Macaca mulatta: one gene and its partners. The protein of the gene in region 2 purifies or fractionates together with the protein of the main gene of each other region. This does not show direct contact. Links are inferred from orthologs where the notes say so. Each region holds a gene or a part of one and is shown on either strand. Other genes may lie near its edges.

Region 1 (3,500 bases), on a different chromosome or scaffold from region 2:
GAAGACAGCTTCCACAACATCTGTGCCCATCTACTCTGCCTTCTTCTGTTACTCTGGCTGAACTATCCATACTTCTGGCCAAAGGTGTACCTTTCTGCCTGTGCATTATATCCCATCTGCATTATATCCCATCTACTTTTCTGAGCAATTCTCCTCTCTCTCTTGCATCATCAGCTTTAACTTTCTACTGGATCATTCCTAGAACATACGTAGTCTGTATTTGCATTCTCTAGCTTCTCTTTTCCCCTTCTTTCTTGAGCCGACTCCATTCAGACATATTATGCCAGTACTTCAGAATTGTTCTTGTCAAGGTCACTAGTTATCTCTACATCACTACATTTAAGGAATCATTTTCATTTCTCATCTTGACTCTCAGTAGCACTTGATCTAATTCATTACTTTCTCCTTCTTACACACAGCACTTTATTCAGTTGGCCTCTGAGATACCATACTAGCCTAGATTCCATCTTACATCTCTGGCCATCTGTTCTCAGTTTTCTTTGCTGGTTATTCCTCATCTCCCCAACCTAGAAATGTTGAAGTGCCTAGGGCCCAGTCATTTGGCTTCTTCACTTATCTGTCTGCACTCATTTCCTTGGTAACCTCATCCAGTATTGTGGCATTATATACCATCTGCTGGCTCATAATTTTTTCCATCTTATACCTGAACTCTATACTCATATATCCAACTACTTTCTATACATCTACTAGAAACTCAATATTTTCCAAACAGAGTTCCTGATACTTCCTTCAAACTCAATCTTCCTGTAGTCTTTCCCCATCTCAATTAATAGCCCTCAGTTCTTCTACTAGCTCAGGTTAAAAACCTTAAGTTATTCTTGACTATTAGAAGACTATTTAGGCATCTTGGTTCCTTTTTGTGCTAGCCTTAAGTTTTGCTTAAAATGGGTTTGTTTGGATATCTTCATTAGCTTGAAAAGTCTTATTTCTGTTCCTGCCTGGCTAGTTTATAAAAGAATGTAAGTTACATAATACTAAGTGAAGCATTTTTATTATTTCCAACCAGTAGTCATAAATGTTTCTGCTTTTCCTAGGCTCATTCATGGACATTGCTTCTACAAATACGAGTAATAAAAGTGACACTAATATGGAGCAAGTTCCTGCTACAAATGATACTATTAAGCGCTTAGAGTCAAAATTGTTGAAAAATCAGGCAAAGCAACAGGTTTGTTTTGTTATTACAAGTAAAATTGGTAACCTTAACAGTAGTCACAATATTATACTAAATGAAATTAATTATTTACCATCTTCTATTTTATAAATCCTGAATTTTCTTCCTGAAACATATAGAAGAGCTTACAAATAGAGACTTGTAATGAGAGTCTCCTACCATTTATTACCAAATGGTTTTTCCTTCTAATGATTGCTACCTTTGCCAACTCTAACTCCCTATCTATAATAATCCTTAAATGTAATGGTTGATGGTTAAAAATGTAAAACGGATATATTTTGGCTGTGCTGCCCAGTTAGAGGAGTTGTCCTAAGTGTATCATTTCATGCTATTCAGATTTATATTTTTGCCGTTGTTGATTTTTAAAAATATTGTAAGGAGTGAGTTTATTCATTTTGCCTGAGGCATTTAGGTTAATGAATAATTGGGGCTTTTAGCCCCAGTTCTAGTGACTACTCTTTCATAAAAACAGTATCTGCAGCTTGCTTTCCCTTACTGCTGTAGCTCCCTCTCGTGCAAACTTCCCTCTCCTTTCAGAGCAGAACAGGATCCATCAGAATCCTACTTGCCATCTTCCTCCTTTTAGGTTGCCTAAGACTGCTAAATCTAAAGAACTTCAGTAATTCAGATTGACCTGTAATTTTAACAGAGTGAATCTGGACGTTTAAGCTTGGGAGCCTCCCGTGGGAGCAGTGTGGAGAGCTTGCCCCCAACCTCTGAGGGAAAGAGGATGAGTGCTGACATGTCTGAAATAGAAGCTAGGATCGCTGCAACCACAGGTAAAAAGGAACTACAAGTCTGAAGAGTGAAATGTATATAAGCCTTTTTGGCCATGGTAGTTTCAGTTGTCAGAGGTTTTGTGTGTGTGTCTTTTTTTTTTTTTTTTTAAATAGGAAGTAGGTTTACAATATATTTTTCTAAGTTACTAGCAATAATTTTGCATTTATCTCAAATTCCAAATAAGGAAGGTATGACTTGTAAAATTATTTGGATGAGAAAGTATGCCTTCCTCATTTACAGATTTTATCAAATGTAATTCTTTCTGCTCAAACATGAGTTGAAAGTCTGAGTGAGAAATTCTGCCAAAACCGGAATATTTTGGGGATTTTGAGTGATACTACTAGATTTTTGTGCTGAACTCTAATAATAGCAAATATTTTGTTTCAAATTTAACAGAAAAATGTATTCCAGATCCACGTATGATTTGACCTTCTATCTGCTCCTTCATTCCAGTGACAAAATATTAGCTAAGCTGGTTATGGTTAATTTTTTTAATTGTAAAGTAAAAGATCATAATTTTATTGGATCTTGGAAAAGCTAGCATTTAAATTCCATTGTTCAGTTCTTAAAATTATTAATCATGGAAGAACTGGTCAGCACAAAAACAATTACATGTTTTGTTACCTAAGTAAACTGGCAACCTAATTTTCTGACCAGGTTTCATTTTAGTAATGCTGGTTTAGTTTGGACTTCGTTGTTTTTTGCTGATTCCTTCCAGGGATTGGGGGGAGCTGATTTTAAAAGTAAACACATTTCTGTTGTGGAAAATGTGGAAATGTAAACAAGCCAAAAAAACTTACATAATTACCCCACTCAGAGATAAACACTTAACATTTTTGTGTATTTACCCCAGTCTTTTAACTATATATATACGTATAAATGTGTATTTCTATGTGTATTTGCATCTTTTTTAACTTAGCTAACCAATTTTTTAGGTATTTTTTTCACTTATTTGGTTTTTTTCTAAATAGAATATTCTTATTGTGTGTGGAGCTCTTTCAGAAAGAAGTTGTCAAGATGGACCATCATACTATACTTGTCTTCAACTAATCATGATCATTGATTTTTATCAGCTAGTATTAGAATCCATTAGATATAACAGATTTCCAAAATAACAGTGTCTATAACACATAAGCATTATTTTTCAGACATAAACAAGTCTGAAGGTAGTGGGCTCTGTGATCTTGAAGTAACTGGTCTCCTATTTCTGTGCCGTAATCCCTATTGTATAGCTTCCATTCTCAAAGTTATCCTGTGCTCCAAAATGGTTGTTAAAGTTCCCTTTCATCACTTCTACATTCCAGGCAGCAGGAAGGAAGACATGGGGGTAGGGCAAATAGGCATCCAAGTTCTTTGAAGGAACATTCCCAGATGCCTTTCCTAACAATGTCCACACGTCATTGGTCAGAGTAACATGGTCGAATGGCTACACGTAGCTCCAAGGGAAGAGGAGATCTGCCCTCTTTTATCTGATGACTTTTCTGTCCTAAATAAAATCAGAGTACTATTGCTAAAACAGAAGGGAAGA
Region 2 (2,364 bases):
ATTCTTGATTGCATCTTAGGTTTGATGAAATATGGTATTTCCCTCTTAGTCTCTGTGTCCAGGCCTCCTCACTCCTGGCTCCACAGTGGCTGTTCTTGTCACTCACTTGCAAAGAATAAACTCTGAGGGCTCTCAGAGTTTGAACCCCAGCATAGCCACTTATTGGCTATGTGACCTTGGGCAAGCTTCTTAACATCTCTGAGCCGGACTTTTATTTATTTATTTATTTATTTTTGAGACAGGGTTTCATTCTGTCACCCAGGCTGGAGTGCAGTGGCACAACCATGGCTCAGCCTCCACCTCCACGGCTCAAGCCATCCTCTTGCCTTAGCCTCCTGAGTAGCTGGGACTACAGGCACACACCACTACAGCCAGCTAATTTTTTACTTTTTGTAGAGACAGGGTCCTATGATGTTGCCCAGGCTAGCCTCGGACTCCTGGGCTCGAGCAATCCTCCGCCTCGGCCTCCCAAAGTGCGAGGATTACAGGCATGAGCCACCAAGCCTGGCCTGGGCCTTGCCGTTCTTATATTTAAAGAAAGCATAATGACATTCATTTGGTGAATTTATGAGAACCAAAAACAAACAAACAAAACCTGCAACACATCTGACACAAAGCTATTTATTTTCCATTAATCTTCATCTTTTTTTTTTTTTTTTTTTTGAGACAGAGTCCTGCTCTGTTGCCCAGGCTGGAATGCAGTGGCGCAACCTTGGCTCACTGCAACCTCTGCCTCTCAGGTTCAAGCGACTCTCCTGCCTCAGCCTCCCGAGTAGCTGGGATTACAGGCACGTGCCACCATGCCTGGCTAATTTTTGTATTTTTAGTACAGATGGGGTTTTACCAGTTTGGTCAGGCTGGTCTCAAACTCCTGGTTATCCACCCGCTTCAGCCTCCCAGAGTGCGCCACCGCACCTGGCTTGTCTCTTCCTGAAAGCACTTTTTTTTTTATTTTTGAGATGGAGTCTCACTCTAATGCCCAGGCTGGAGTGCAATGGCGCGATCTCGGCTCACTGCAAGCTCCACCTCCTGGGTTTACACCATTCTCCTGCCTCAGCCTCCCGAGAAGCTGGGACTACAGGCGCCTGCCAACATGCCTGGCTAATTTTTTTTGTATTTTTAGTAGAGATGGGATTTCACTGTGTTAGCCAGGATGGTCTCAATCTCCTGATGGTCTCGATCTCCTGACTTTGACCCGCCTCGGCCTCCCAAAGTGCTGGGATTATAGCCGTGAGCCACCACACCTGGCTCCGTTTCTTCTTGAAAGCACTTTTATACTATTCTATGTGGTTCTCACCATGAGCTTGAGAGGTGGGCTACAGTGCCTCTCCCTGCTTTCAGCTTCCTGCTGGGAACTCACTCTCTCAAGTTCCTTCCAGCACCACCCCTTAGAGTTCTCATCACTCCACACTGTCCAGTGACAACTCCCAATGTGGAAGTTCTGCTAGTTCTACAGCGTGCTCTCTGGCTGCCCCAGTAACATGTATTTTTAAATTTTTCATATGCATGTTTGACTCCCCCTCCCCGAAGTCAGGGATTGTAACTAGCAGTGTCATTTAAGAAAAAGCCCTTAAACCTCTCTTTGCGAAAGGATTCTTATCAGCAAAACAGTGATGAAACAGCAATCCCATAACAGCGAGCTAGTTACCTTCTCAAGCACTTATTAAATGAGGCATAATCATTTTGCTTAATCCTCAATCCTGAGAGGTGGGTGATCCCTGTGATGATGAGGAAACCGAGGCTTGGGGGTTAATGGCTTGCCTAGATTCACACTGCTAGCCAAGGAATGGACTGGAATTCATGTGATGACCCTGACTGCTTTTCACATTTTCTCCACAGCCTTTTCAAGATCCCTGCCAATTCTAAAATTAAATGATCCTATGATTAACTGTGTTTCATTCTTCTGCATCAGTTCCCAAAACACATTATATCAAGAGACAGCAAAAATATTTGTAAAGGATGTCCAACAATCTGTGTTGCTGTTTTTCTGCGTTCCTCCAATGGTAGGGCCTCTATTCACCAGTACCGTCTCTTCTTTTAGCTGTAAGAAAACCCTGGAGTGCACCAAGTTGTGCCTACCCCAGACTGAGAATGTTAAGGGCACTGAGGACTCAGGTGAGGAGAAGTGACCGTGCTCACCTGCCCTCTCCCCCTCCTTGCCCCGACCCATCCATCCCACCCATCCGTCTATCCCTGTGGCCCCCCTCTGCCCCCTCCTCTGACCAACACCTGCTTTGTCTCCAGGCACCACAGTGCTGTTGCCCCTGGTCATCTTCTTTGGTCTTTGCCTTTTATCCCTCCTCTTCATTGGTTTAATGTATCGCTACCAACGGTGGAAGTCCAAGCTCTACGCCATTGGTGAGT
Region 3 (3,500 bases), on a different chromosome or scaffold from region 2:
TTCGCTCTTGTCGCCTAGGCTGGAGTACAGTGGTGCAATCTTGGCTCACTGCAACCTCCACCTCCCGGGTACAAGCGATTCTCCTATCTCAGCCTCCCGAGTAGCTGGGATTACAGGCACGCACCACCATGCCCAGCTAATTTTTGTATTTTTAGTAGAGACAGGGTTTTGCTGTGTTGGCCAGGCTGGTTTCGAACTCCTGACCTCAGGTGATCCGCCTGCCTTGGTCTCCCAAAGTGCTGAGATTACAGGCATGAGGCACCGTGCCTGGCCTTTTTTTTTTTTTTTTTTTTTTCATGATTAGACTGGGGCAGTGGGTTTTTGAGAGAAAGGTCACGGAAGTAAGATTGCAGTGAATTGAGTTCATGCCACTACATTCCAGCCAGGGTGACAGAGCGAGACCCTGTCTCAAAAAAAAAAAAAAAAAAAAAAGAGGGAGTTATGTTCCCCTCTTTTAGGATAGAGTATCTACATAATTTATTTGGAATTCTTCTGCATAGGAGATTTGTCCTTGCTCTCCCATTTATTAATTTCAGTCATTTATTTATATTAGTATGGATTAATGGATTTTTAAAAATACTTTATATTATAATCCAATACTAGTTTATTCTGTTGCTCAGATTGTTCCAGCTTTGGCCATTTGGAGCTCTTTCAGTGGGCTCCTGTACCTCTTTTACATGCCCCCATCAATGAGTTGTTTTTGTTTTATTTTGTTTAAAAAGTTTGATTTTTTTTTTTTTTTTTTTTTGGTCTGTTGTAGGAAGCCACAGGTGGAAGTTTGGTTATACAATAGGAGAAAGGTTAATTGAGAATATTAATAATTATTAAGGGAGGCAAATATTTTTCCATTTATATAGCTTAATTTATTTAAAGTCTGCTTCAGATGATGTGTTTTCTCGTAGGAACACTAGTGTAGCAAGTTTTGCCTAACCTTTCTCTGAAGTTTTCATTAGAAAAAAGTAACAGAGAATATACTTGCTGCCTTACAATATGAATCTGTTTCAATGTTGGAGAATTCCATATGTTAAAATAGAATTTCATTGAACTTAACACATGGTTTTAGAAAAGTAGCATTCCCTTTACCAAAGAATGGGTGAGATAAAAATCACAAATAGATAACTTTTTAAAGTCTGGCATTGAAGAAAGCATATTTTATTAAACTGCCATTTACCCTCTGTGTTTTCTTTTTTTTTCTTTTTTTTGAGGTAGAGTCTCACTCTGTCACCCAGGCTGGAGTACAGTGGTGCGATCTTGGCTCACTGTAACATCCACCTCCTGGGTTCAAGTGATTCTTTTGCCTCAGCCTCCTGAGTAGCTGGGACTGTAGATGTGCATCACTACACCCAGCTAATTTTTGTATTTTTAGTAAAGACAGGGTTTCACTATGTTGGCCAGGCTGGTCTTGAACTCCTGACCTCAAGGGATCCGCCCGCCTTGGCCTCCCAAAGTGCTGGGATTACAGGCGTGAGCCATCACACCTGACTCTTGTGTGTATTCTTAATGCTGGATTGTTGGTCCAGGATATGAAATTTATTATTTAGAGGTAGGAAAGACCCAGAGGAGATGGGACTTGATTTAGAACTTGAAAGAAATAATTTGGATTAGCAGAGAGAAAAAGAGTATTCCAGGTTGCAGAAAAGCAAACAAAAAAGACAGATACAGGAATAATCTCAGGCTCTGTGAGTGTAGTGATTATGTCATTCATTTTTTTCCCCCTTGTATCTGGAGCAGGGCTTATGTATTGCAGGTGCTCTGTAAATGTATATTGAACTGAATTAAATGGAAACAAGTGGCTCTTTTAGCATCAGTTTGTAGCATCTATGGGAATCCTGTTTTTGTAGACAGAAAATCACAGAGAACAATAAATCAACTCTAAAATCCTCAAAAGTAACTAACTCCCTTGCCCCTTTTCTCATCTTCTTGTATATAGTACAGGACAGCAAAATACAGCTTCCAATTGTACAGCTGCGTAAAGTGTGGGCTGAAGCAGTGCACTATGTGTCTGGACTAAAAGAAGACTACAGCAGGCTCTTTCAGGGACAAAGGGCAGCAATGTAAGTGGATTCTGTTGTTTATAAGCACAATGCAATGTGCATCATATACTCAAGAATTAATCTTGCTGGTTTTCACTAATCAATATTTCATGTAATAGTAACATACTAGGCCAATTTGAAGTGTAATGTTCTGATTAAACTTGTAGAATTCTCACTAATGGACTGAGACCATTCTATTATAATGACTTGAGGGTAATAATTCCCGTATGGTCCTAGTACAAAAAGATTGTTTATCACAGAATATTATAGGCAGGAAGTCTTTAGAGATCAGATTCTAGAGATCAGTTATTTCTCATAGATTGATAATAGAAACTTAGGCTTTGGCCTTGTGGCAGTTTATGTTTTTAAATTATTGTTCAATGTTTCTGAATGCCGAATGCTGATAATATCTTTTTTCTTTTTTTTTTGCTATGGTTTAGGTTAAGTCTTCTTAGATATAATGCTAACTTAACAAAAATGAAGAACACTTTGATCTCAGCATCACAACAACTGAAAGCTAAATTGGAGTTTTTTCACAAAAGCATTCAGCTTGACTTGGAGAGATACAGCGAGCAGATGACGTATGGGATATGTAAGTGTCTGAGTAATATATTTCAAAGGAATATCTGGTTTCTTGAAGCCATCTGTTGTTTTGCCTTCTTAACTCAGCCAGTTGTTTTACTTACCTTCACATTAGGACAGGAGACAGGACAACTTAGATTACCAGAAACCATGTTTGTTTTGAATGTTACCTCTTTTTAAAAATTTGCTTAGTTGAGCAATTTAGTTTCACAATTGGGCTAAAATTATTTAGCTCCAAAAAAATACAGAAGCAATTTAATAATCTTGAATTTCAAACATAATTTAAAAATAAATACAAAATCTGGACTTCTTAGCCAGTGCTGTGGACTGAATGTTTGTGTCCCCCATGAAATACATATGTTGAAATTCTGACCCTGAAGGTGACGGTGTTGGTAGGTGGAGTCTTTGGGAAGTGACTAGGTCATGAGAGTGGAGCCTTCGTGTTTGGGATTAATGCTCTTACAAAAGAGGCCTGAATGAGATCCCTCACCCCTTCTGCATGTGAGGACAGAGCAAGAAGATAGTCATCAGGAACCAGAAAGCAGGCCCTCACCAGATACCAAATCTGCCTTGTTCTTGGACTTCCCAGCCTTCAGAACTATAAGAAATAAATTTCTATTGTTTTTATGGCACTTAGTCTATGGTATTTTTTTATAGTAGCCCAAATGGACTAAGACAACCAGGGGAGTCTTAAACTACTTACCTTTCTGTAAATAATGACACAAATATTCTAAGGCTATGATTTTTTTCAAACCATCTACCGTGGAGTCCTATTTTTTGCATACACGATCTCCAAATTTTCAATATTTGATTCCAAGCTTATCTCCTTCAGATGCACTAAGGAAATGTAAAAAGACAGAGTTAAAATATGAGTAAATTGAAGGA
Region 4 (4,175 bases), on a different chromosome or scaffold from region 2:
GGTGACAGAGCCAGACTCCGTCTCAAAAAAAAAAAAAAAAGAGTGTTCTATCAATTTTTTCCAAAAATATCTATGTTTACATTTTGTAGATTACTGACATGTACAACAGCTTTATGTTTTAATGTTAAGTTAAAAATGGGCAAGGGAATGCAGAGCTTTTTGAAATTCTTCTGGTGAGTACATAATCAAAAATGTGTAAGGCCCACAAATTATTTTCCATAATCTCAGGAGTGAGTTGAAAATGGCTTAGAAAGTCTTGATTGAAGCAGACTCAAATGTGGATTAAAGTCTCCATATGATAAATACACTTAGTCTTTCTGAAATAATTCCAACTGGAACTTCAGTTGCTATGGACAGCCAAGTCCACCTAAACCAGAAGATGCCTCAGCTCAGTCCATTGTGTGCAGAATGCACTGGATGCTGTTTCCACAGAATGATGAAGGACCAAATAATCTTTATGGGCTCTGCCTCTGGTTGGTAACTGTCTTTGATCTACTGGAAGACAGAAAATCAGATGAGCTCTCCCAAATCCATCTCTTACCCTGGTATGGATGGCTCTCAGATAAAGTTGCTTAAAGTTACTACTTAGAGAACGTTGAGGAAAATATGGCAGTGCAGTTAGACTCGAAGATGTCAGGTTTCCCTGAGAATGGCACTGCAACTCAGACACCTGCCCTGTGAAATCAAAGGCTATAAAGGAGGGATTTTTTTAAGTAGCCAACTCCACCATACTTATTAAAAAAAACAACAACCCAAAACTCACCAAACAAAACAAAAAGTATTTCAATACAGAAAATTAATAAAGCAATTTCAATCTTTAAAATGGTAAAAATAAACTGCAAAGGAGAACTGCATGATTTTTTTCACATACCCCTACATTTCCTTTCACCTCTTACTTTCTTGATCAGAACAAAAAGTAAAAATAAATAGAAAGATTTCACAAAGTTTCGAATTTTTTTTTTTAATGCTGGACTTCTGCAGCTATAGTAGAAGATTGAAAACCCGAACCTTTTTACGTGTAAAGTGTATGGCAGATGGAGGGTGAATAGGGCATATTGACCTTTTCCAGGCAGGCTGAGCAATGACCGTCCTCTCTGTATGGGTTGTTATCAAGATTTCCTCTGGCCCACGAGCAATGAAGCAAATGTCTTTCAGTAAATGCCGCGCAGATAGGCCACGGTTAAAAGTCATGCTTTTGGGTCATGGAAATCCCCGAGCGGGTTTGCCAGGCCACTGATTAAGAGGAAGTGTCTGTGGTTATTACCCCTGGAGTTCCCCTAAGTCCTAAAAGGAAAGCACCAGTGCACATGCAAACCACTGGGAGGAGTGCGGAACGCCTGCTACGGGTAGGGGTGGGGATTTGGGTGACGCATTTAAAGGACAGCGTGAGACTCGCGCCCTCCGCACGGAACAGGCCGGGCGACAGGTGTCGCTTGAAAAGACTGGGCTTGTCCTTGCTGGTGCATGCGTCGTCGGCCTCTAGGCAGCAGGTGGGCGAGGAAGGCTGGGGTGTGCGTGCGTGTGTGTGTGTGTGTGTGTGCGCGCGGGCAGCAGGTGGGCGAGGAAGGCTGCTGTGTGCTTGTGTGTTTGTGTGTGTGCGTGCGCGCGCGCGCCTCCCCTGGGGTAAGAGGTGTGCCAGCGGGTGGCCGAGGGGTGCTCAGGGCTAGAGCGCTGCAGAGGTTGAGAGTCAGTGGGTGGGGCGCAGTTATCAAACGTCAGGGCCCAAAGGCAGGCTCTAGATAGGTTCCAGGTGCTCAATTTCTATTTTACCTTTGGAGTGAGCCAGTGGAATTGTGCAGCTGTGTCATTTTGATTCGGTTGCCAAGAGTTATCACTGGGCCTTTGCAGGTGCCAAATAAATTTCAGGACCGAGCCTAACACAGAGCTCTGGCACAGGAAGGAAGTAAAGTGTTTAATGAGCAAATGGAGGCATGTTTCCAACCTGTGGTAGGAAGACAGCAGTTTTTGGTTGTCTTCCTGGTGATCAGCATGGAAACCCAGAAGTGCTCTTACTCTGATCAATACAGTGTCGAAGGCATGTACCTGATGCTAACGTAACAATAATATTAACTATTGACTTTATTTGCTATTATGTATTGCTAACATTAAGTACTGCTACCTGCTATATGCTAGGTTTCTCTCTGAAGAATTTACATGTATTTTTCACGTTTAATTATCATAATCTTAAGGAGCAGAATTATCTCCATTTGACAGTGAGGAAACTGAGGCTCTTGGAGATTTACTTGTGCAACGTCATGCTTCTGGTTACCGGGCTGCTTGGTACTGAGCACCCCAGATGTCTGACTCCAAAGCCTGATCCTAATCAATCACTGAGTAGACTCTGTGGTCATTAATGTAAAATTGATAGAAGTACTGTGGTCACTCGGGGCTCAGTCACATTTGCTAACATTTATTCCTTCAACGGGAAGTCTTTGTGTCTACCCTGTATGCCAAGCTCTGCAGATGCTATGAGTGGGAGGGCAGGTACAGAGATGAAACATATTAATAGCTGCGGTTCTAAAATACCTTACTGTCTAGGGGGAGGCAGAAAGAAAAGGCACACTTGCCCTCCAGTGTCATAGAAATGGATGTGCCGCGTGCCCAAAGGGTAGGGATGCCCAACAGCCCTGGGATTGGGGAGGTTGCTTTCTTGGTAGGTTAAATGGAAGAGTCAGAAGACGAAAGGTTGGGGACTGAGCCAATCTGAGAAGGAGCCACTAGAAATGAAAGAAGAATCCCAAGAGCTTGGTATCAGAGAAGCCCAGGGAATGGGACATTTCTAAGAGGAAGTGTGCCCCAACGTCAGATGCAAACATTTCCATTTGTTTTGGCAAAAAAACCATTGGTGTTATTAATACTGAGAGCAGTTTTAAGTGATGCTGACTTAATGAGTAAATGGGAGAGGGAAAATGGAGACATTAACCGTACACACATGTCCAGTTTGCTTGGCTATGAAGGGAAGGGGCGATACAGGGTAGTTGCTACAGTGGGAAGTGGGGTTGAAAGGGGATTTTTTTTTTTTTTTTAGACGGAGTCTCACTGTGTCACCCAGGCTGGAGTACAGTGGCGCAGTCTCAGCTCACTGCAACCTCTGCCTCCTGGGTTCAAGCGATTCTCCTTCCTCAGCCTCCCAAGTAGTTGGTAGTAAAGGTGCACGCCACCATGCCTGGCTAATTTTTTGCATTTCTTTTTAGTAGAGATGGGGTTTCACCGTGTTAGCCAGGATGGCCTTGATCTCCTGACCTTGTGATCCACCCGCCTCAGCCTCCTGAAGCGCTGGCATTACAGGCATGAGCCACCGCACCTGGCCGAAAGAGAATTTTAAAAATTTCTTTCATTTGAGAGTTGAGATAGATTTAAGCATGGTTGTTATGTGGAAGGAAAAGGGCCAGTTGAGAGTGAGAGGAATGAGAGTTGACGCAATGAGGGAGATGGGATTAAGAACAAGACTTCTGAGGCAGTAGGAGAGTTTAGGATCCCATAAGGGGGCAAGTCTTTAACTGAGGCAGCAAGTAGGTTGTGAGCCAAAAAGGCTTGGATATGAGAATGTGAGGCGGTTCCTGCTCAATGATATCTCTTTTCTTTGAGAAATAGAAGGCAAAGCAATGGACTGAAAATGAGATGGAGTGCAGTGGAGAAATCTGAGGAAGGTGTTGAAGGTTTAGAAGGGTGCATAGGGCAGTGGGCTAGGGGGCTGAGCAGGGCGAAAAGGAATTGCTAAGGGGTGGCAAAGGAGTCTTAAGTGATGCTGGTCCCAGTCTGCAGGGCTGCATCTAGGTGTTGGAAATTGTTAGGACAGAGGCTGAAGTGATCTGGGGTTGACATCTTGGCATATTTTTGTATATTTATTGTATAGTTGTTGCCTGAATTTCCACAAATATATACCTTGCTGGAGTGCAGTGGCATGATCTTGGCTCACTGCAACCTCCACCTTCTGGGTTCAAGTGATTCTCCTACCTCAGTCTCCTGAGTAGCTGGAACTACAGGTGCGTGCCACCACACCTGACGAATTTTTTTTGTATTTTTAGTAGAGACAGGGTTTCACCATGTTGGCCAGCCTGGTCTCAAACTCCTGATCTCAAGTCATCTGCTTGCCTTGGCCTCCCAAAGTGCTGGGATTACAGGCGTGAGCCACCACGCCTGACCTAAAGCTTCTTTAGGATAAGATTTGTGTA
Region 5 (3,500 bases), on a different chromosome or scaffold from region 2:
AAGTTTAAAAGTTTGTCCCAGACCTCCAGTTATAATGCTTCTATGGCAGATTCCCCAGGTAAATTTTGTAAAGAGAATAAACGTGAGCACCTTTTGTTGCTCTTCTGTGAGGATGATGTTTCTGAAGAGGAGACAAGACATATACTGTTGTGCTACTTAGAGATGATTGTGTTCTCCTGCCTTACTGCAGTTCTCCTGAAAACAAATAACCTGTTTTTGCTGATGATGTTTGTTTTCAGCTATAGACTGTAAGGGAAATCAAATCGCTTTTATTTTCTGGCAATTGAATATGAGTGAAACTTGGCCGTGTATGTTTTGATGTGGTTCTCTTTCTCTTCTGTGGTTTTGAAGCTGGTGTTTGATCCTTAACTATTCACCTTTTCATTCTTACAGTCCTGGCTGTCCAGTCTGCCTTCCCAGTCACTGTCAGCCCTGCTGTCTTCCAGAAAAGACTTTCTCTGGCCCTAATTATGCTCTTCTACACCCACATACAGATCTTGAATTCAAAGTGTTGTCTCTTCTTCATTGGATTTCACTTATTTAACACTGACAAACCTTTACAATGTGTCTGTTCTGTAATGGGCATGTGCTAGGCACTAAATTGAACTTGACCCAGTTCTCACATCTAATATTTGGAAAGGTAGGAAAGAATGCTCACCTTTCTCCAGTTACCCAGGTTTTAGATTTTACATAAGACAACTTCAGACCTACAGGCTTCCAGAAGCAGGTTGACACTGTGGAACCTTGGGAGCAAAATCACTTTTTATCTCCAATCCTCCTGTCTGTTCCAAGCACATCCAGACATTTTAGGCATACATAGCTGAGCATTCTCTCAAGCATGGAGAAATAGCTTCCTGGAGTTACATGATCCAGGGGTAGCTTCTTTAAGAGAGAATACTCTAGAGGGTTAAATAATAAAGATCACAGGATTATCTTGTGATGCTGTTTCAAACTGCGCTCTGCTTAGTCACCAGGCCATAACCACTGTCATGTGATAGTTTTAAGAGGGTAATTGTTTCAGCCCTTCTTAAAGCAGAAGTAAAAGGATTACTCCTGCCAGAAGCTCTTGCAGTAATTGATTTCATCTCTGCTTTCCCCACCCCAAACCAAAACAAAACTGTAGCATTCTTAGGCAACTGTCAGGTTTTTGAAAGAATGTTGACAAGGAAATGATGACTCAGTCTTGTATTTCCCCAAATTCATAAGTTAGAGGCCAAGTGAAAGCTTTGCAAACATTGATAAAAGTATAAAAAGACTCTAGTGTTATTCAAGGATACTTTTTATCGTTCTTTATACAGTTTTTTCCCTTGACTAACATGGAACCATCTAACAGGTACATTTCAAAGCAGTCATATTGGGACAGGGTGTTTCGTTTCTTAGTTGTTTGATTTTAATAGAAAATGTTGTGAATCTGATGCTGTTGTCTGTTGGTAACTTGGTTGACTTAGCGAAAATGTAATGTAGTCTCTCCAGGTGAAGAGTCTTTTGAAGACCTGACCGAAGAAAGCAAAACGCTGGCCTGGAATAACATCACCAAACTGCAGTTACACGAGCACTATAAAATCCACAAAGAGTAAGAATATCTCTGCTTCTTCTCAGCAGCTGATGGTCCTGGCGAAAGTTAGGGTCTTGGCATGGGCTTAAACTGTTTTAAGCTGAGTCAGAGGGAACATTCCCTTTCAATGTTGTCTTGATTTTGAAAAATCTCCCCCAAATGTCTATAGCGATCTCCACCTGAGGTGGATGTAGTAGGAAAGTTTGGCACGAAATGATTTGTGGTGGCTACCATGCTGTCATTTCTGCAGTCTGTCACTTCACAGTACATCTGCAGAGAGCAGCCAGTTTTGTGCCTCTCAAATTGGGGTACACAGCTCCTTGCATCTGTGATGGGAGAAGTGTGATATATACCCCACAAGTGTTGAATTTACACATAATGTAGGCGAAAAGCCTCCTTTTAAAAATAATTAGCTCTCTCAGAGAGAGAACATTGCAAAGTTCACACGAATTTTAAAAACAATAATTATAACAATAATTATACTTCTAAGAAATTGGGCTTGCTGTTGGACCCAGAGATGACATGTGTGTTCTCTGCCCTCTGTCATTAAGACCTTCATGTTCTCTGGTAGAAAGGCTTGAGAACCACTGACCTAGCCTGTTCATCCTGCTACAGAGAGGAAACCCAGGTCCAGAGACTAGGCCCTACCTTGCTGCATGACCGTAGACAGCCCCTCCGGTATATTGGTCACGGGTGGAGCTGGGTATGCTGCTCTGCATTAGATGGATGGCTTCATGTCACAATCCAGCCTCCCGAAGAGAAACAAGGAGTTTTGGCTGATTCATGATGACAATGGCTGTCTTTTCTCAACTTCTCTAAATGGCACATAGGAAGGGACCTTGTAATCCAAGATAGTGAAGACTGAATGATCCTTTAAGAGGACAGGCTGGAACCAATTTTCTTATCATTGAATAGTCACTGAGTAAATTAGCTTCAGTAATGAGCAAATGAAGTGACTATGAAGAAGAATTTGTCCCTTTGGTGATGGTCAAACGAGAGGGAATAGAAGGAGAAGAGTTTTCCAATTGCCAGAAATTGTCAGGAATATGTGAAGCATTGCATGTGGAACACAGGGAGGCAAAGAGTGGGGATGTTTTCTAGTCACAGGTGTTGCCAGAACATGAGAAGTTGCCAAGCGGTGATTTGGTAATGGCAGGCTTATGCTGGGACAGATCTGGCAGGCATACTGTGAAGAAAAACATTAAGGAAACTTGGTATAATTAACTCAAGGACGTGAAACAAAGCGGGTGTCCTAACACATGATGAGTAGTAATTTGTGAAACTTTGTTTTTGAGCAGAGCAGTTACTGGAATCACAGTCTCTCGCAATGGATCTTCAGTGTTCACAACATCCCAAGGTCAGTGTTTCTCCCTGAAAGGCGACTTCACCAGAATCCTAGAATGTCTGAGTTCTTTATTATGTAGCTCGCGGTCAAGGACTGTACTTGCATGTGCTGCCTCCACGTAAACTTAGAGCAGTTCCTTTGTGGTACATTGCATAGAGTTTCATCGTAATTTGCCAAAAATAATAATGAAACATCTTTCTGTTGCTGATGAGGTTTCCCAGAGCTGAGGGTAAAGGACAGAAACAGCCTCCTTTCCACACCCTTGCTGGGTCAGGTCCTTCCCGCCTGCCATAAGAGGGTGCCCTGTCCATTTGTTGGGGTTGGCTGTGAGTCACGAGTGCTGTATCAGAAATCGGCGTGTGCCTGTCAGCACGCGGAGATGCAGATTTGCTGTTACGGTTTTCAGTTCTGTCATTCAGTGTGTATTTCTTCAGAATATTTGATTTAGCTCAAAATCACATTAATATATTATTGAATATGCTTATACATTATGAAAATTATAAAAACCCTTGCAGTGTGTCATTGATATGACTTATTGTAGCTATATAGCAGAAAGCATCCCTTACTATATACACCATTGTTCTCTCCCTGGTAGTCTGC
Region 6 (4,202 bases), on a different chromosome or scaffold from region 2:
GTCCTTCCAGCTTTGTTGGAGAATAAAGATGTAGAGGAGAACGGTGTTGCCTAAGGCCACACAAGCCAGGCCTGTTGATTTCCAACTTATGGCTTCCTTTGGCAGTGTGGTCGTGAAGCTTGGAATAGAGGAAGATAGGGGTGACAAAAGAGGGACAGGAGTAGAAAGAGGCTTAGGTTTTCAAAAGATGCTCATTTCATTTTGGATGACTATGGCAGGGAAGAGTGGTGGCCTGTCTACTGCTACTGTTACTCGTCACTCATGTGACTGCTTTTATGTATTCATTGGTTTAAATTCCCTGGATCTCCAGAAACATGTTACTTTCCACTGGGGGAAATTTGTGTCATGGTTAAACACACACATACACACACACACCCCTCCTCCTTTCTCAGTGTTAATCACCTTCTCCTATAATTAGCACTTAAAATGTCAAAGGAGAAGAAATTAATTAACAGGAGTATCCAGTGCAGCAAGGCTCTGGGACCGATTATAAAAAGCACTTCCTTAAATATTTTGAGTACTTTTGGGAATCAGAAGCCTCCCTTCTAATTGAAAGATCCTTAACTACACCCTAAGTCCTGGCTGGTGGCCAGGGGTGCAGGGCTGAGTGAGGCGGCGTGTGGAAATCCCTTCTTCACCATCCTTGGGAAAATTCCCTCCTAACTGGGATAGGTGGCAACAGAGGTTCGGAAACAGCAAGCGTCCCAGGCTGAATCTGCGGGGGAGGAAGAGATGAACCTTTCCTGAGCTGGTACTGCGTGCCAGAAACTTTAACTCAGTATTTTGCCACAATCCTATAAGACAACCGATACTATGATCTCCATTTTACAGATGAGGACATTGAGGCACAGCGTGGTTGTGACTTCCCCGAGTCACGCAGCCACTGAATGAAAGCGCCAAAGATTCAAAGTGAGGTCTGATTCTAAAGCTTTGCTCTCTCACGGCATCCTGGAATCCTATTCCCAACCTTCATCTGGACTCTCAACCCAGCCCAAACCTAAGCGTCTACAGTTTTGACAGCTGAGGTAGGAGCACGGGAGGTGGAGCTGGTGACAGCGCAGCGCCCCGCCCCGCCCCGTCTCCGGCACCAGCCAATGGTGACGCGGCACCCACAGCCTTTCGCCCAATCAGCTTGAGCTTCCCGCCTCCATCCCCCGCTCTTCTCCGCCCCGCCCCTCCGCTTTCCCTTTGGTTCCACCGAGCTTGACAGAGCGGAAAGTCCCTTCGGCCGGCGCCGGGCCGGCAGCCATTGGAGGAAGGTCTGTCACAGGGAGGCCCAATCAGGGCCCGCTCAAGAGAGCAGCTCGGCCTGCGATTGGCCAGCGCGGCGTCTGCCCCCTCCGCCCCCGCTCCCTCCCTCTCCTCTGGGCGGTTCGGAGGCGGGGCAGGTGGGGGCGGGCCCAGGTAGCAGGTTCGGCTGCGCGGGGGCCGCGCGTCGGAGGTAAATACTAGGGCGGTGGGTGTGGGGCGCCGGGGCCGGCCCGGGACGCAGGCTGGGGAGCCGGGGCGAGGGGCGACGCCCCGCCGCCCGAGGTTAGTGAGTGAGCGGGCGGCGGGCGGCGGGCGGCGGGCGGCCGGATCCCCTCGGCGCAGCCACCCGGCCTCAGGGCGTCCGGAGCCGCTGCGGCGACCGTCGGGCCCTCGGCGCCGGCCCGTTAGTTGCCCGGGCCCGAGCCGGCCGGGCCAGTGGGGTGCCGAGCACGCTGACGTCAGCCCGGGCTTCCCCACCCCCGGGGCTTCCCCATCCCCCGAGGCTTCCCGGGAGGGCTCCGAGTCCGGGGAGCGTGCCGGGTCTCCACCGTCGGGACCCTCGGAGGAGAGAGGACTTGGGGCGGGAGTCGCGCGGGACACTGTCCCCCTCCTCGCCCCCCACCCCATTTACAGATGGGGAGACTGAGGCACAGGCCGCTGGCGGGCCCCGACGGCCACCGTTGGCCTCAGGAGCTCGGGGCTGTGATTCCTACCGTCCGCGCCGCGGGGCGTATGCAGCGATCGATTTTGCGGGTGTTGGTGGCTCCCGTCCAGAAATCGCAGTCGGGGTTCTGGCCTCGTTAATGGCGTGTTCTGCTTTTTCTTTCAGTTTCCCCCTTTCCAGGGTGAGGATGGTTCTACACAGCCACCTGGAGTTCCTTAGTTGAAAGGTGCGCCCTGTTGTGACAGGTATTCTTTCTTTATGTTTTTCTTTCATGTTAACAATGGTGGGGGGGGGGGGGTGGCGGAAGGGGGGCGGAAGGGAAGTCATGAAATCTTGAGGAAGATGGTGTTGAGTTTGGTACTCAGCTGGGTCAGCTGCCGGTTATTCATGCACTTGGCATCGTTTCTTTTCCACCCCTTGGCATTTGAATGTTTTAGGATAGTTGTCATCTTCCAGCCACCAAGCCTGTGGCCTTGCAATCTCCCAGCCCCCATCATCCCCGCCACTTTCTTTTCTCCAGTTTTTCCTGGAAAGTTGTATCCTTAGCTCAGCTGAGGAGCATGCCTACCTTGCTTTTGAATATGGTCTAGAGATCTTAATAGGATTGTTCATTTTGCAATCATTGGCTCTCAGAGAAGCACCCAGGCCTTGAGAGGGTGTTCATTTGATTGTTGGCTTTCTACACACCCCCTCATGCCCCAAGTAGATTGAATGGCCTTAAGAATTTAGCCTGCCATTCCCCACTGAGTAGTGGGTGGATTTGAAGTAGAACAGTATTAGGAGAAAATGATTTGCTGGAAATTCTTATTGAAGTTCATGTACTCTGGATGTCGATAACACCCAGAACATTCTCTAATATTCTGCTGCAAAATTGTATAGTATTCTTGCAAATAAACCTTCCTTTGGGTGGTAACTTTTGTGAGAAGCAGATAAGACTTGTTGTATAAAGCAACAACTAACATTAAGCAGCAATAATTTTTGTAGTCTGGCACACCTAAACTGTGGTTTTGTTTGATTTAAGGAAGTCTCCAGCACAAGGAGAGAGAAAGGAATACTTATGTTGTTTATCGAACTATTAGTATTTTGTTCCTGATTTTCACACTATGATCTTAAATTAGTTTTTTTTTTTTTTCCATTGGTTGAACAGAATTTCTAAGTAGATACACGCTAGTGAGGCTCTAGGAAGCTAGTTTCAAATAAACCTCAAAACAACTTGGTTTCGTAATTGTGAAATTTTCTGTATTTGTTTCTTATATGTGTAACAATGAAGTGGTTTAGCATGATTTCATTTTATCCAGAGAATTAGTGAAGTTTTAGGCAAAATTCATTAAATGTTCCCAATTCCTTAGCCTTTTTCTTTTCTCTTTCTCTTGTTTTAATCCCTTAAACAGGAGGAGGAAATGCAATTTTGTTTTCACTGTTGGCACTTGAGTCTTTCATTCATTTCTCCGTATTCAGTGCCTAGCATATGCCAGGCTCTCGTGTGGGCACTGGATAATATAAAAATGAAGGACTTGGGGAATTCACAGTTTGGCAGTGGAGTGGCTAGGTTTAACACTAGAGAGGCAGCAGTATTCCGTGTTCCGGCGGGAATATGCAGATGTGAGAGGCTTTGCTTTTCTTTTAACCTTATAAATCCCACTTATATTAGGGACTGTGTACTTGTGACACAAGTTAGTCATTGAGGAAAATTAAAACGGACTCAGTCTTTTTTTCTGGCCACGGAATCTCTGTATCCCTATTCTTTAGCTGTTTAGAAATATAACAACTTTGTCTTTTAGTGAGAGGTGTTCTTTTTTAAAAGAGTAATCATTCTAGCTATCCAGAAGCTTTTGGGAAAAGGCCCACATGTCTTCTTTCTTTGGTGTCCACGCTGACCTTCCTACCTCTTTGCCATTGGTAATTAGGGGCAGAATTAAGTATTGTAATTTTTATTCTAATTTAGGTAGCTTCCTTTTTAGAACAAGCAGGATATCTCAAGAGATGCAAAAAGCTCTTGAATTGGATCTGTCTTTGTGAGATCCTTATGAACAATATAACCTGATAACTTGAGAATCAGAAAGACACTGTATCTTCTGGATAAGTTAACCATTGTTAGTTTTCTGTTGCTACTGATGTTCATTTGTAGTATATGTTGCCTTTCAGAATGTGGTAATTGTAATCTTTAACATTTTCATGTAAAGCTTATTTCCTGATCATCTTTCCATTGCCTTCATGGAAAATTGATAAATATTTGTGCCTTCCAACCCTCATCTTGGTTTAATGACTTTATCTTAATACAAGTAAG
Region 7 (4,154 bases), on a different chromosome or scaffold from region 2:
GGGAAAGTTGAATATGTAGACATTCTGTAGAGTTCACAGGAAAAGTCATACTTCATTTTTTGTTTGTTGCTGTTTGTCCAATCTGACAAGATCGTGCTATCTTCCATTATACTCTTAATGTTTTGATACGAGGGACCTGGGAAAAGTCTTTGGGAGGCAGTTTTGTGCATGAGTAGGTGACAGTACTGTTTGATAGCTAAAACAGTCACATGAAATTTCTTCACACAAAATAAGATTTTTACCACAAAAAGAAATCAATGATAGACTCTTACGTAGAATTCACTACACTTTCTTTACTGGATTTATCTCAGTTTATATTCAGGTAGGATGAGTCTCTCTCTGAATTACCAAGATACTACTTGGAACACAAGTCTTTGGGGTTGTAGTAACTCTTTTAAGTAATCTAAGTGCTATTTGTTCATAATCTTGAGTAATACTAACCTAAAGCCCTGAGAGGTGGATGCCCTTTTGAAAATGTTGAAACTCCTTGATTTTTCACAGAGATTTATATTCTCAAAATTCTAAGCAACTACAGAATACCTAAATTACTCCTTTTATTTATATTTGGTTACAAGCTATGAAGCCTGGGTAACAGATCAATTACTGATTATGCCACAAGGTAAAAAATTACATGCAGGCTTCTTTCCCTATAAGCACTTTAATATAATGTCCCCAAAAAATCTCATTTTATTCCAATAAACAAAAGTAATTAAAATCTTCATATGGTCACACTATTTAAAGGCTAAGTTCACACAGCTTATCACCATAGTATTTACATAAGCGGGCTATATTACTTCAGCTGACAACTTTTGGGGAAGTCAACACCCACAAGCTTTGTTGAACCTGTGCCTGTTATAGTGTTTGATGTCAAATGAATTTGGCTTAAAGTTCACAAACTATAAACTCTTCTATCTTTGTTAAATATCATTTGTATTTGTTTCTATTTCCTGCAGCATGTTGACTTTCTTCCTAACTTTGTATACCACTTTATTATTCTTGATCAACTGAAGGTATTTTCTCCATAAACTTAATTAGTTAGCCATAAAATTTCCACAGCACACTTTTCACACTGCATTTAAAAACTAAATAACCTGTTCATCATTTAAGGACTATTCAGCTATAATTATCAGTCATGCTGTAAACATTAATCAATTTGTCACAAGACACAACTTGTCCTTTCTAGTGTTATCAGAAACGCCTAACAAAATACTGTATTACCAAAAAAGTACTGCTTAGCATAACGTATCAGTAATCAACTCTACTAGCCTTCTTTCTGAAAACTCTTCAATGTTTTAAAAATATAATTCATACACAAAATTACACTCCATAGAATTCAAACTATATCCCTTTATAAAGCTTCGAGATCTCCAAAATGGGATTTATTACTGCAAGGGGAAAGGGAGAGGAGGATTCTTCAGGGCTGTAAATCTGAAAAGAAAAAACAAAAGGTATTTTAGAAAACCGTATTTGCATGCCAAATAGAACTTACATACTCTTCAATTTATTCACTAAAGTCTAAGAATAATTTACATTTTAGATAACACATCTTAATTTCCAGCAATTTGTCACAACTTTCTAACTGAAAAAGCTCTTAATTAAAATAAATAAATGCAACATACTCCCATAGCACTAACTATACGTGTCTTTAAAAAGCACAACTTTAGAGACAGATGGAAATTTTCACACAGGAAAACATTTTGTCCTTGCTCTCCTCCCCTTTTCTGACCTAAAGGTATCTTTGGCACTCTGCTGGAGGCAAAGGAACATTGGTGAAAAAGGCAGAGAGAGCGACAAGGTACTCCACTAAACCCTGTCAACAGCAGTACAGCAGTAATCAGACAGCAACGTTAGTTTGTAATATCAAGTCTCTCCGCGACTAGGAAAACTGCAGTAAAATGTACCACGAGTTCATTAATATAAACCCTTAAACTCTGCCAATCCCTTACAATTTCAAAGCAACGACGGTAGAAAACAACCGAAAACAAAACCTAACACAGCGGCCTGTGAAACAGTGGCCTGACGCCCACTGGCATGATTGCTTTAATTACACGCGATTTTTTATATACTATCTTTAAACGAAAGACTTTTATCTGCGAGCACCGTACTGCAGCATTCTCTTTATGCAAACTGCAGCTGGACAGGGGATAGGATGGAAGAGAAAAGAATAGAAACTATGGGATTTACCCAATAATTACCCAGAGTTGTTTCTCACAATACACAACAGACTACTGGAATGACAGAGCGCAGTGGCAACTATGAAATATGAAATATCACCGCCACCGAAATATCTTCGTTTCAATGTATTACATTAAAAGAACGCCGAGGGCTGTTTAAAACCTTGCAAAAACTGCGAGAAAACATCTTGGTCAAAGTCCAAGGGCCAGAAGAGTGGGCGGCGGCCAGAGGAGGTTTGAAAACAAGTCATATTTTAAAAACGGCTTTGACTGCAAGTCTTGAAGTTTGGGCTTCCGAATCCAATAAAACCTTGGCGAGAGTAGAAAGCAGAGAGCCCCCGGCGACCCTCGACCCTTGGCCGAAGGGCCTCTGGCCCCTTCCTTCCTCGCCCGGCCGCCACATCAGGGAAGTGGGCCCCCGCGGGCCCGCGCGTCCCCACCCTCCCCGCGCCGCCCGAGTCCGGAAGGAGCAGCACTCACCGCAGTGCGGGCGCAGCAAACAAGGAAGCTGCGCGGCAGCCTAGAGGCCTCCCCAGAGCCGGGAAGCGGCGGTACCGACAAGGAGACACGGCCGCCTCGGCTCGGGTCAGCTCCGGCGCTCCCGAAGCCCGCCGCCCCATCCGGGCTCACGCCGACGCACGATGACGTCAGCGCGCCCGGCCGGAGACTCGCGTTGGCAGCCGCGCGAGGGCGCCCGGGAGGCTGGGGCCGGAAAGCGAAACCGAGCGCACTTGCGGCCGTGGGGCGACTAACCGCCGGGAAAGACGCTGGGAGGCTCAGGGACCCCCGGCGCAACTGGACGCCCATCGGGAGTCGCGGGGTCGGCCCTTAGGGGAACGGGGACTATCCGTATCAACTCGGTGTTTGTTCGTTTTCTTCACCTTGCAGTTTGTGCCCCCTCCACGTTTCCTCTCTCTCTGTGCCTACCATTCTCCTGGGGGACGTGGCAAACCGTGAGCCGCTGCGTTTGACTCTTGGGAAACCCTGCGGAAACGCCCTGGCGCCGGTGGTTTTGCGCGTCTACCCTGTGTCACCTCAGGGTTATGATCTGGCCCCTGGCAAGGCTCCCCTAGTGTGATGCCTCCCCCGTCGAGATGACTGCATTTTGAGGATGGAGTCAGTCTGATGGCATTTTTTGCTCAAGTAAACAGTTGTAACCGTTTGTGTAGCATCAGCGTTCAACAGCTGTTTGTGCAAATCGAAAAAAGCGAAGCGTTGGAAAGTAGGAAGCATCTGATGAATAATTTTGACTCGATGAGTTTTACAATCAACTAGGTTATCTTGTTTTTAAACTTTTGGTTTTCTGTTCTGGAGACAAACAGTGCATATGCACTAAAGACAAAAGTGTCATTATTTCAGATGCTCATTGCCAGCAACGGGAACGGTATTGCAAGTCAGGCTTCACTCCCAGTATTTTCTGAATGTTTCAATAAAATGAAATATATACGTCCGCCTGTGTATTGGTGTACATGCACATATAATTGTACATAAACCACAGAGAAGCCCAAGGTTGTTTTTTTTTTTAATGCTTAGGTAATAGAAAATTTGTAAACAAACACCCTTGGCTTTTACTAGTGATGGACCTTTTGTATCCCTCCGCCATACTCCCCCAGTAGTGCCATAGACACAGTGGCATGCAGTAAATGTTTGTGCTATGACAGCCAACGAATGACTTTTGAAGTTGACGCTCTTTGCCCATTGAATCCAATGCTTGCTTCTCTCTGGGGAACTCCAAGGGGCAAATATTTTAAAAACTTCCAAATAGCGAACCACTTAATTAGGCAGCCGGGGGAATTCCAAGACCCTGAACCATTTCCCATTTCCTGTCCGTGTCATTTCTGCCTGCCAGTCAGTCACAGAACAGGAGGTCTACTGTTCCAATGTTAATAGTCAAAGAAAGTGAGTGTAACAGTTTGTAATACAGAGAAAAGAAATGCCATGGCTCCCAATGACTAAAAACTTCCAAAAATGCACGTGGGG

What was found.
Region 1: the proteins of TNFRSF1A (region 2) and MAP3K7 purify together in Homo sapiens (affinity purification with western blotting; 7 studies listed by BioGRID, with this or other methods). This does not show direct contact. The link is inferred for Macaca mulatta from reciprocal best matches to the Homo sapiens genes TNFRSF1A and MAP3K7.
Region 3: the proteins of TNFRSF1A (region 2) and CHUK purify together in Homo sapiens (affinity purification with western blotting; 3 studies listed by BioGRID, with this or other methods). This does not show direct contact. The link is inferred for Macaca mulatta from reciprocal best matches to the Homo sapiens genes TNFRSF1A and CHUK.
Region 4: the proteins of TNFRSF1A (region 2) and BIRC3 purify together in Homo sapiens (affinity purification with western blotting; 4 studies listed by BioGRID, with this or other methods). This does not show direct contact. The link is inferred for Macaca mulatta from reciprocal best matches to the Homo sapiens genes TNFRSF1A and BIRC3.
Region 5: the proteins of TNFRSF1A (region 2) and NSMAF purify together in Homo sapiens (affinity purification with western blotting; 3 studies listed by BioGRID and IntAct, with this or other methods). This does not show direct contact. The link is inferred for Macaca mulatta from reciprocal best matches to the Homo sapiens genes TNFRSF1A and NSMAF.
Region 6: the proteins of TNFRSF1A (region 2) and CYLD purify together in Homo sapiens (affinity purification with western blotting; 4 studies listed by BioGRID, with this or other methods). This does not show direct contact. The link is inferred for Macaca mulatta from reciprocal best matches to the Homo sapiens genes TNFRSF1A and CYLD.
Region 7: the proteins of TNFRSF1A (region 2) and BIRC2 purify together in Homo sapiens (affinity purification with western blotting; 9 studies listed by BioGRID and IntAct, with this or other methods). This does not show direct contact. The link is inferred for Macaca mulatta from reciprocal best matches to the Homo sapiens genes TNFRSF1A and BIRC2.

The regions. Positions count from the first base shown.
Region 1 is NC_133409.1:95,420,016-95,423,515, forward strand, and holds part of MAP3K7 (mitogen-activated protein kinase kinase kinase 7), read left to right. Parts: intron 1-1,055; coding exon 1,056-1,186; intron 1,187-1,841; coding exon 1,842-1,971; intron 1,972-3,500. UniProt on the Homo sapiens protein: Serine/threonine kinase which acts as an essential component of the MAP kinase signal transduction pathway. Plays an important role in the cascades of cellular responses evoked by changes in the environment.
Region 2 is NC_133416.1:7,265,028-7,267,391, reverse strand, and holds part of TNFRSF1A (tumor necrosis factor receptor superfamily member 1A), read left to right. Parts: intron 1-681; exon of another isoform or gene 682-696; coding exon of another isoform or gene 697-788; intron 789-2,041; coding exon 2,042-2,115; intron 2,116-2,244; coding exon 2,245-2,358; intron 2,359-2,364.
Region 3 is NC_133414.1:112,252,715-112,256,214, reverse strand, and holds part of CHUK (inhibitor of nuclear factor kappa-B kinase subunit alpha), read left to right. Parts: intron 1-1,930; coding exon 1,931-2,054; intron 2,055-2,473; coding exon 2,474-2,625; intron 2,626-3,500.
Region 4 is NC_133419.1:103,187,969-103,192,143, forward strand, and holds the start of BIRC3 (baculoviral IAP repeat-containing protein 3), read left to right. Parts: upstream 1-1,375; 5' UTR 1,376-1,490; intron 1,491-4,175. UniProt on the Homo sapiens protein: Multi-functional protein which regulates not only caspases and apoptosis, but also modulates inflammatory signaling and immunity, mitogenic kinase signaling and cell proliferation, as well as cell invasion and metastasis.
Region 5 is NC_133413.1:69,275,871-69,279,370, reverse strand, and holds part of NSMAF (protein FAN), read left to right. Parts: coding exon 1-58; intron 59-1,464; coding exon 1,465-1,573; intron 1,574-2,853; coding exon 2,854-2,912; intron 2,913-3,500. UniProt on the Homo sapiens protein: Couples the p55 TNF-receptor (TNF-R55 / TNFR1) to neutral sphingomyelinase (N-SMASE). Specifically binds to the N-smase activation domain of TNF-R55. May regulate ceramide production by N-SMASE.
Region 6 is NC_133425.1:46,193,926-46,198,127, forward strand, and holds the start of CYLD (ubiquitin carboxyl-terminal hydrolase CYLD), read left to right. Parts: upstream 1-1,402; 5' UTR 1,403-1,441; exon of another isoform or gene 1,442-1,533; intron 1,534-1,964; exon of another isoform or gene 1,965-2,080; 5' UTR 2,081-2,141; exon of another isoform or gene 2,142-2,510; intron 2,511-4,202. UniProt on the Homo sapiens protein: Deubiquitinase that specifically cleaves 'Lys-63'- and linear 'Met-1'-linked polyubiquitin chains and is involved in NF-kappa-B activation and TNF-alpha-induced necroptosis.
Region 7 is NC_133419.1:103,217,272-103,221,425, reverse strand, and holds the start of BIRC2 (baculoviral IAP repeat-containing protein 2), read right to left. Parts: upstream 2,801-4,154; 5' UTR 2,655-2,800; intron 2,638-2,654; exon of another isoform or gene 2,196-2,637; intron 1,429-2,195; 5' UTR 171-1,428; coding exon 1-170. UniProt on the Homo sapiens protein: Multi-functional protein which regulates not only caspases and apoptosis, but also modulates inflammatory signaling and immunity, mitogenic kinase signaling, and cell proliferation, as well as cell invasion and metastasis.